Linked DNA regions of Ovis aries. The protein of the gene in region 2 interacts with the protein of the main gene of each other region in a biochemical or structural test. Links are inferred from orthologs where the notes say so. Each region holds a gene or a part of one and is shown on either strand. Other genes may lie near its edges.

Region 1 (5,270 bases), on a different chromosome or scaffold from region 2:
ACTTTTGCAAAAGCCCATGCTCATTATTGCCCAGTTTTATTTATTGTTTTAAAAGTCATACCCTTTTCTTTAAAAAGCCTTAGAGCATGAGCACAATCAACACAACTGAACCTGAATCACTTTAGAACACTACCCCCAAAACCTTTCATATTAATTACAATCTATAGGTAGGCTCTGAACAGGTTACTTAGCTTTCCAACAAATAAAAAACTGGGGTACAGTCTAACATTGATTTGCCCATTGGCAAAGAAGCATAGAACTTCCTTTTTGAAAATTCTTGGTTTTATCCCCTAGGACAAATACAAATCTTAGCTACTTTCTATGCATTTATCGTTTACTGTGGTTACTTACAGGAAACAATTTGCATTCCAAATTTTTAAACTTGCTGTTTCCACAATCACAACGAAAATTTCTGAAAGAAAGGAGGAAGAGCCAATTTTAATTTTTCTTCTAAGTCTAAAGACTACATTCATATCATAGCCTCTTCCCTTTCAATTAGCTTCTAGGATCTAAAAATTGGACTTGGTTGTTGTTCATGTATCCAATCCGCAATTTTCCCAAGCATATTACAATAAAAGATTTAATAATTCTATAAATTAACATGTGTGTGCTGTGTGCCCAGTCATGTCTGACTCTTTGTGATCCCACGGACCGTAGCCCACCAGGCTCCCCTGTCCATGGAATTCTCCAGATAAGAATACTGGAGTGGATTGCCATTTCCTTCTCCAAGAAATTAACATGCATAAAGACAAATATCTGTATCTCACACACACACATAAAACAGTGGAAGGATAGCAGGAGTAGTCTGAGTTTGCCTCATAATTATATTTTAAAAGGTCCCCTGGAAAAACTGTTCTTTCCGATTACATTATATAAAACAGTTGCATTAAATTTTACCAGGGCACAACTACTTTGAATGCAAAAACATGATTAAGAAAAAAAGTGCAACTGGAAAAGAATCTAAACATTTGAAAAGCATCCAGCATCAATCTCTGACCAGTTTACCTTTTCGTGTACAGCTCAAATAGTTTATGACTTCCATGACATTCGTAACTGCAAGCCAGGCAAATTCCTGCCGGTTCTTCTCCCTCTGGAGTGCAGGTACTGCAGGCATACAGTGCTTGTCTCTTTACTGAACCCTAAAGACAGCCCCAAAATGGAAAAAGACCGGAAACTGATGAAACACTGGCAGAGCAACCTAATGCCCACACTATGATCTGAGAAATAACTGAAATCAGATGATCTGGGGTCAAGATCTTCCTGTAAAAGCCACTGAGACTAATAAAAAAGCATATACAATAGAATACCAAAACACTGTTGCAGGTTTCATACACGTTTCATATAACTTTTTCTCAAAGTGATAGAAGTTAACATTTTTAGTCAGCTGTGAATAAACCGGTCTGCTTAACTATTTTAACACATGAAAATACAGGAGAATGTGTGTAAGCTTATGTAAGGAATAATCATACTTTAATTTTGGAAAATGCTTGTGATTCCACCAAAGAGAAAACCAGTGCATTAAATGAATCCCTTTGATTTTAAGATGTATGCTGACATATTTAGAGTTGAAGTGTCATGGTCTGAAATTTATTTTCAACTGGTTCAGGAAACAAAAACAAAGTATATTACAGTGAAGAAGTAAAAGATAAAACAAATGTGGTAAAATATTAAAAAGTGAATATATGTGAAGGTACACAGGTGTTCATAATATTATTTTTTCATTTTAACTGTAGACTTTAAACATTTCAAAATAAAAAGTCGAGAGAAAAGCAAATCCTGATAATGGCTGCCATCTTCTGAGAAGAAGGGAGTCCCAGGAAAGCTTCTGTGATGCTGGTAATGTTCTATTTCTTGATCTGTGTGGTATGTACCTGCAGGTGTTTTCAGTTTTGCTTTCCCAAGACTTATACATGGTTTCTGCACTTTTCCACATATTTTACAACAATACAAAAAAATTTTTTAAGGAAGTCTGTTTTAAAAATCTAACTACGTTTCAAAAATAACTTACAGGCTTTTTTAAAAAAGGCAAACAGAGAAAAAGTTGTTCCAGTGGCGACCAAAGGTTTTAAAATATCAGCCAACATTAAATACCTCTGAAGCCAGGTGTATTAAAAAAAAAAAAATCTAACCACTTTGCAGTGTAAACTCAACTGGTCATTGATAACAACTGGTATTGTGATCTCAAGCAACACCACGTAAAGACCCCATGTCTCTCTCCCCATCCTGCAATGTTCCACTCCACCTGCCTGGAAGATAACCTTCTTCCTATCAAGTACCATCTCTCATTAGTTTTCTTCTACCACCTTTCTCCATTTTTGAACCTAGAAACATAGAATGAGTCACCAAACACTACGTCACACCCCCTCCAGTCCTTGTTCCCACCATCTTCCGAATGCCATCTCTCCTCCCCTCCTTTCCTTTGCCAGTGCCACCAGCTGTTCGGGTTCCGGTCTATGCCCCTGGAGGGCCGACTGCAGAGAGACGTGGTACTTGCTTCCTCTCGCCAAAAAAAAAAACCAGCTAGCACCTGTCAAACTAAACTGCAGAGGAACCAGCTGTCCAGGAGTCCAGCCTACGCGGAGAGATTTTCAAACCCAGAGCTCTCTCCTTTAATTATTTGACTCTTCCGTTTAGTACCCAGCAAATACTCTGAGGATGGGAAAAGTATGGACAAAGATACTCAGGATGTGAAAGGTCACGGGGTTGGTTTGGTGAAAAGCGGCCGGGGCACAGAGAAGAGACGAGGAAGGAAGGAAAGAGCAGCTGCTCTGGGGCCAAAACCGTAGAAACGTCGGGGGCCTGACAGAGGAAAATCGAGAAAGGAGGGGCGTCCTGCTGGCCACAGGTTAGAAGGGGCTCAGAAGACTAAGTGTAAAAGGGCACCTGGGCCTGGGATGGGGAAGCCTACGACCAACAGCTGCGCTGGACCACCACAGGGGGCCGGCCGCGGCCGGCGGGAAGAGAGAGGGTAAGGCGGTGGGGAAAGGGAGGTTCAGCGGAGGCGAGGGCCGAGCCGCGCGCCCACCTGCGAGTAGGAGCACTTCTCCGAGTCACTGCCGCCCAGGACGGCGCAAGCCTCATTCTCCAGCTCCTCGTCCTCCTCCAGTACATCGACCAACGATACCACGGGCTCCAACTCCGACTGTCGCCCAGCTGGCTCCTCAGCTCCAGCCATCCTCAACTGTCACCAGGACCGCCGACCGGCCCCGGCGGAGGCGGGAAAAGCGTCCGCGAGGGGCGGGGCCGGAGGAGGCGGGGCCTCGGTGCCAGACACCAATCCCAAAGACAGGGAGCGAAGGAAGGGGGAGGAGCGACTTCCGACAAACGGAAGTCAGGCCTCTCCCTTCTCCGCGCCTGCGCCCGCGGCGGGCTGGTTTCCGTTTCCGGTGGCGACTCACTGTGGCGCGCTCCTGAAGCGTAGCGGTCGCTATGGAGCTGTTGGGCGAGTACGTCGGACTGGAAGGGCAGCGACAGCAGCTGCGGGTGCCTTGTGAGGCGCCGGGCGTCACCGACCCTTTCCAGAGCTTGTTGTCCGGTGTGGCTCAGATGAGGGAGCTGGTGACTGAGCTCTTCGGCTCTCAGGTACAGCCGGAAGCACAGGACCGGGGGACGGCGGCTCCCGACGAGGCCTTGGACGGTGAGCTTTGAGACGGTTCAGCGAGTGACAGGAGGGCGGGCAGGGGCGCCCGGAGAAATTTGGGCTGTACCTGGACTCGTTTAGCAGGACTGCTTTTGACGATTCTCTTTTCATTTATGTCACACAAAAAACGTACTGAACGCCTACGGCCCTGTGCCAGTCACTGGGCTGAACTCTGGAGAAAGAATGACGTGAATGCGACTCAGTTCCTGTTCTTGTGGAACTCTGTGGGAGGTTAGACAGACAAACATTCTTATTAAAGAGTAGAAGGAATGACCCTAGGCTTCTTTGTAACTATTGCAAACCTAGAGAACCCAAGAAGGCTTCAGAAAGAGCATGACTTCTAAGCTGGGCTTAGAAGGATGGAAAGGAATTTTCCCAGGCGTGAACTTACAAATATGTTTGGAAGACCGCCATCTATTACAGAATAGAAACAGGTTCTGAAGATTGGAATAGATTTCAGATGAACAAGGCTTCACTGTCAGGGACTCCTTTCATTTCCCAGTGTGGTAGGTGCAGTTTGAAAGCAGAAATGGAAATTTTAACTGTATTCTTAAGTCTTGTCTTGAATACCCTGAGCTGAAGAACCTAAGAACTAAATATTGGAATCAGGGCTTACTTCCCCTATTGTTGTTGTTGAGGTTCAGTCGCTCAGTTGTGTCCAACTCTGCAACTCCATGGACTGTAGCACACCAGGCTCCTCTGTCCTTCTCTGTCTCCCAGAGCTTGCTCAAATTCAGGTACATTTAAACTGCAGTGCCATCCAGCCATCTCATCCTTTGTCTCCCCCTTCTCCATCTGCCCTCAATCTTTCCTAGCATCAGTCTTTTCCAGTGAGTCAGCTCTTTGCCTCAGATGGCCAAATTATTGGAGCTTCAGCTTCAGCATCAGTCCACCCAATGAATATTCAGGGTTGATTTCCTTTAGGATTAACATTTCATCTCCTTGCCTTCCAAGGGACCCTCAAGAGTCTTCTCCAGTACCACAGTTCAAAAGCATCAATTCTTCAGCACTCAGCCTTCTTTATGGACCAACTCTCACATCTGTACATGACTACTGAAAAAACCATAGCTTTGACTATACAGACCTTTGTCGTCAGAGTGATGTCTCTGCTTTTAATACACTGTCTAGGTTTGTCATAGCTTTCCTTCCAAGGATCAAGTGTCTTTTAATTTCGTGGCTACAGTCACTGTCTGCAGTGATTTTGGAGCCCAAGAAAATAAAATCTGTCACTGCTTCCACTTTTTCCCCTTCTATTTGTCATGAAGTGATGGGACCGGGTGCCATCTTCTTTGTCTTTGAATGTTGAGTTTTAAGCCAGCTTCTTCACTCTCCTCTTTCAGCTTCATCAAGAGGTTCTTTAGTTGCTCTTCACTTTCTGCCATTAAGGTGGTATTATCTGTGTATCTGATGTTTTTGATACTTCTCCTGGCACTCTTGATTCCAGCTTGTGCTTCATCCAGCTTGGAATAAGCAGAGTGACAATATACAGCTTTGATGTACTCCTTTCCCAATTTTGAACAAGTTTGTTGTTTCCTGCCTGGTTCTAACTGTTGTTTCTTGACCTGCATACGGTTTGGGGATTGGAATAAAAACTGACCTTTTCCAGTCCTCTGGCCGCTGCTGAGTTTTC
Region 2 (4,914 bases):
AGTGTGAGCATTCTTTGGCATTGCCTTTCTTTGGGCTTGGAATGAAAACTGACCTTTTCTAGTCCTGCGGCCACTGCTGAGTTTTCCAAATTTACTGGCCTATTGAGTGTAGCACTTTCACAGCATCATCTTTTAGGATTTGAAATAGTTCATCTGAAAATCCATCACCTCCACTAGCATTGTTCATAGTGATGCTTCCTAAGGCCCATTTGACTTCACATTCCAGGATGTCTGGCTCTAGGTGAGTGATCACACCATCGTGATTATCTGGGTCGTGAAGATCTTTTTTGTACAGTTCTTCTGTGTATTCTTGCCACCTCTTCTTAATATCTTCTGCTTCTGTTAGGTCCATACCATTTCTGTCCTTTATTGAGCCCATCTTTGCATGAAATGTTTCCTTAATATCTCTAATGATCTTGAAGAGCTCTCTAGTCTTTCCCATTTTATTATATTCCTCTATTTCTTTGCACTGATCCCTGAAGAAGTCTTTCTTATCTCTCCTTGCTATTCTTTGGAACTCTGTATTCAAATGGGTATATCTTTCCTTTTCTCCTTTGCTTTTCACTTCTCTTCTTTTCACAGCTATTTATAAGCCCTCCTCAGACAGCCATTTTGCTTTTTTGCATTTCTTTTTCTTTGGGATGGTCTTGCTCCTACAGTGTCATGAACCTGCATCCATAGTTCATCAGGCACTCTATCAGATCTAGTCCCTTAAATCTATTTCTCACTTCCACTGAAATAATCATTAAAGATTTGATTTAGGTCATACCTGAATGGTCTAGTGGTTTTCCCTACTTTCTTAAATTTAAGTCTGAATTTGGCAATAAGGAGTTCATAATCTGAGCCACAGTCAGCTCCTGGTCTTTTTGCTGACTGTATATAGTTCTGTAAAATATCAACTATTAGGAAGAAAGGAAGGGGCAAGGAGAAGGAAGATAGAAGCAAGCAAGCAGGCAAATAATAAGTTCTACCCCAGGAGATAATTTTGAAGAGACTGAGATTATATTACCACTAAGATCTCATCCCTCCAGAGAGCAATTCTGAAACTGCAGCTTGAGTTCAATTTTTCTTTCTTTTCCCCCCAGAGATGAGTGGAGGGGGTTACAATCTAAAAACCAAGATTTTTAACTTCTAAGACAAGCTTCTGTTTCACAGGTATGTTTTATGTATGCTGAGACAGGGAAGTCTTCTCATATAGCAGTCACCTAATTTGTGTGGGATCTGGGAAAAGTTCATTTAACTCCAAAATTTAAAAGTGGTCTTTTTGAGAAATTCTACTTCGAGTTTTTATTTCCTTATCCAAACACACTGATGTATGTCACCTAAATATGGTGCTTATAAACCAAAGAAAAGACTTTCCCCTACCTTTTTAATATGCAGTCAACCGCTGACTTTTCGTGGCTCTTCCCCTCATCCAGCCCCACTGACTCCTTTTCCACAACCAAGGCCCTTCCTATCAGGATTATTTTGGGAGTAGTATGTTCTCTTAAAAAATTTTCCCAAGAAAAATTAGCACACCTTCCTCTCCACCTGGGGCCCTCCTAGTCTGCAAATGAGGTGACACCAGATGGGGAGGTCAGAAAATTCAAACCATTTCCCCTCCTAGAATTGGGAGTGCCACACTTTCAACCTCTTCTAGTGCCATCCCAGGAAGGTAAATGACCCAGGAAACTGGAACCCAGATATCAGGAATGCAAGAAAAATGGAAACGGCTTTACATTGGCTGTTTCCATCACTATACAATTATAATGAGAAATTAGAAAATCTCATTTCAACCATGTGCAGAGTTTAATACCTTATAAAAGTGTCCGCGGTTTGCTAAAGGAACAACAGGTGATTTTGCTTAGTTTCCCCAATAACAGGGAGAAAACCCCACTGATTTGCCTTCCCTGCAACCTGCCCTGAAAAGACAACCTGCATAAAGATGCCTTGAGGATCGGGACCCTGAAATCCCCCCAACCACTTCCTTACCCGGAAGGAAAATTCTAATCACCATCAAAAATTTTAAGAGGCCTCGTGAAGAGTGAGCATTTCCAAGCATCTGGATGCTTAGTCCATGGGAAACGGGAAGATGTGTCTTTCGGGGAACGTCTCTTAAATGCCAAGAGACTTTTCAAGTAGCTAGAGGTTCTGGCTCCAAAATTGCTTCAACTATTAACCCCACTAGAGTAGATGTAGATGCTTAAATCAATAGGACAGAATTGCATTTACCGCGCGAGAAAACGGCAGTTACAGTCTTTCTTCGACAAAGTGGGTGGCTCTGAAAAGAGCCTTTGGATTAACTGCCTATGCAGGCACTCATTTGGAGCTGGTGTATTTAGTGACGGCCTTGGTACCCTCAGACACAGCATGCTTGGCCAGCTCCCCGGGCAGCAGCAGGCGCACGGCCGTCTGGATCTCCCTGGATGTGATGGTCGAGCGCTTGTTGTAATGCGCCAGGCGTGACGCCTCGCCCGCGATGCGCTCGAAAATGTCGTTCACAAAGGAGTTCATGATACCCATGGCCTTAGATGAGATACCAGTATCTGGATGGACCTGCTTCAGAACCTTGTACACATAAATAGAGTAGCTCTCTTTACGACTGCGCTTGCGTTTTTTGCCATCTTTTTTCTGTGCTTTAGTGATGGCTTTCTTAGAGCCTTTTTTAGGAGCGGGAGCAGATTTAGACGGCTCAGGCATTGTTTTGCCCTAGAAACGTTAGATGATAGCCTCCGCGACTAAGATTACCAGTATGAGTTCAAAAACCAGATATTTATAGCGCTTCAATGTAAATGAGGAATGAAAAATTCTCACTTTTGATTGGGTAAGATCAGTACAGGTTCACTAAGGTCTGGAGGGAGGGGTTTATGCAAATAAGGGATACACATATTCTCTTTCTATTGGATAGAAAAACCTTCGTCCTTCTGACCAATAGGAGACCTAAGTGGCGCATCCCTCTACTGTCTATTAAAAAAATATTTTTATCCCCCCTTGGTCGTCCAGGGTTTTTTTTTTCCTGCTCACAAGTTTTGCTGTTGAGTTTTACAAAGTAACTATGTCTGGACGTGGTAAACAAGGAGGCAAAACTCGAGCTAAAGCCAAAACTCGGTCTTCCCGGGCTGGTTTACAATTTCTAGTGGGGCGAGTGCACCGCCTGCTCCGCAAGGGCAGCTATACCGAGCGGGTTGGAGCCGGCGCTCCGGTGTACTTGGCGGCGGTGCTGGAGTACCTGACGCCTGATATTCTGGAGCTGGCGGCAACGCGGCCCGGGACAAAAAGAAGACCCGCATCATCCCGCGTCACCTGCAGTTGGCTAACCGCAACGACGAGGAGCTGAACAAGCTGCTGGGCAAAGTCACCATCGCTCAGGGCGGCGTCCTGCCCAACATCCAGGCGGTGCCGCTGCCCAAGAAGACGGAGAGTCACCACAAGGCGAAGGGGAAGTAAAGCCTAGACAAAAGAAGAAACTTTTTAATAAACTATTCAAAGACTTTTCACAGCCATCCACATTTTTATTAAAAAAAAAAAAAAAAAGCTGGTAGCCAGGTTATGCTGCGTAGGTGGTTAATTGTAAAAAGACAAATGACATTAAAACAAAGACTCTGGAAATGTTCTCACAAGCATTATTTTACTGCATAGCTGGCGAAACCTTTGTAATCCACAAGGGCCTTTATAAAGAGAAGGGGAGACTAGAGCGGTACTTAGTCTTGAGGATAACAAAAAGCAATTACTCTTGCCAAGATTATTTTTCTCTTGCCTTTGCTTTCAAAATTTTAAAACAATCCCCCCGCCCCCCCATGGAAGTTTATCAGGATCCAGTGTATATATGTCATCAATTCCACCTTTGCATGCATGTGATTTTTTAAAATCATCCACCCAGGGACCCTGGCATGTAGTTTTACAGAAGATAAACTCAGAATTAGGGGAGATCTGATGACCAAAGTTAGAAAGTGGTAGTCCTGGTAGTTCGAGATTTACTTAAAGCTGACCCAACTGTGGGGGAGAAAGATCAATTGTATTCAATTTAGGATTGGAGCAGAAATACTGACAATCTTGAGAACGTGTCAAGAATTAAGAATATCAGGTCCCACCCGTATACTGAATCAAAAGTTAACATGGTGGGTAAATGGCTCGTTATGTACATTGAAGTTGGCAATAAGATGAAACAATTTAGGAAAATTCCTTCAGGTCGCCTAGATTTAAAAAAAAAGGCATAGGAAATAGGTGTAGAAGTAATTCATCCAATCAGACTCTCTCTTAATTAACCGGTCTCTCCCGGTCACTTTTTAGCCAATGGTTTTATCGCGCGGTACTTTTGAAAAATTCCGAGACCAATCAGAGTGTTTCCAACTATATTTAAAGGCAACTACCTGCGCTTGTACCAGACCTTTGGTTTGTGATCACCCATTTGTGATGGCTCGCACTAAGCAGACTGCCCGCAAGTCCACCGGCGGCAAGGCGCCGCGCAAACAGCTGGCCACTAAGGCGGCCCGCAAGAGCGCGCCAGCCACCGGCGGCGTGAAGAAGCCGCACCGCTACCGGCCCGGCACGGTAGCTCTGCGCGAGATCCGCCGCTACCAGAAGTCCACGGAGCTGTTGATCCGTAAGCTGCCGTTCCAGCGGCTGGTGCGCGAGATCGCGCAGGACTTCAAGACCGACCTGCGCTTCCAGAGTTCGGCCGTGATGGCGCTGCAGGAGGCGTGCGAGGCCTACCTGGTGGGGCTCTTCGAGGACACCAATCTGTGTGCCATCCACGCCAAGCGCGTCACCATCATGCCCAAGGACATCCAGCTTGCCCGCCGCATCCGCGGGGAGAGGGCATAAAGTTGTTTCCTCTGTACTTAAAAAAAGGCTCTTTTTAGAGCCACCCACAATTTCATCTAAAGTAACTGTAACACTGTCAGTGAGACATTACAAACTATGAAAAGGTGGAAA

The links.
Region 1: of the proteins of histone H2B type 1-B (region 2) and UBR7, one has a biochemical effect on the other in vitro, tested with the Homo sapiens proteins (2 studies listed by BioGRID, with this or other methods). The link is inferred for Ovis aries from reciprocal best matches to the Homo sapiens genes H2BC3 and UBR7.

The regions. Positions count from the first base shown.
Region 1 is NC_056071.1:55,649,844-55,655,113, reverse strand, and holds the start of UBR7 (putative E3 ubiquitin-protein ligase UBR7), read right to left. Parts: upstream 3,231-5,270; 5' UTR 3,176-3,230; coding exon 3,026-3,175; intron 1,140-3,025; coding exon 1,006-1,139; intron 413-1,005; coding exon 352-412; intron 1-351. Other genes in the region: EKC/KEOPS complex subunit GON7, read left to right, coding at 3,430-3,637. UniProt on the Homo sapiens protein: E3 ubiquitin-protein ligase which is a component of the N-end rule pathway. Recognizes and binds to proteins bearing specific N-terminal residues that are destabilizing according to the N-end rule, leading to their ubiquitination and subsequent degradation.
Region 2 is NC_056073.1:30,871,272-30,876,185, reverse strand, and holds the start of histone H2B type 1-B, read right to left. Parts: upstream 2,726-4,914; 5' UTR 2,680-2,725; coding exon 2,299-2,679; 3' UTR 1-2,298. UniProt on the Homo sapiens protein: Core component of nucleosome. Nucleosomes wrap and compact DNA into chromatin, limiting DNA accessibility to the cellular machineries which require DNA as a template.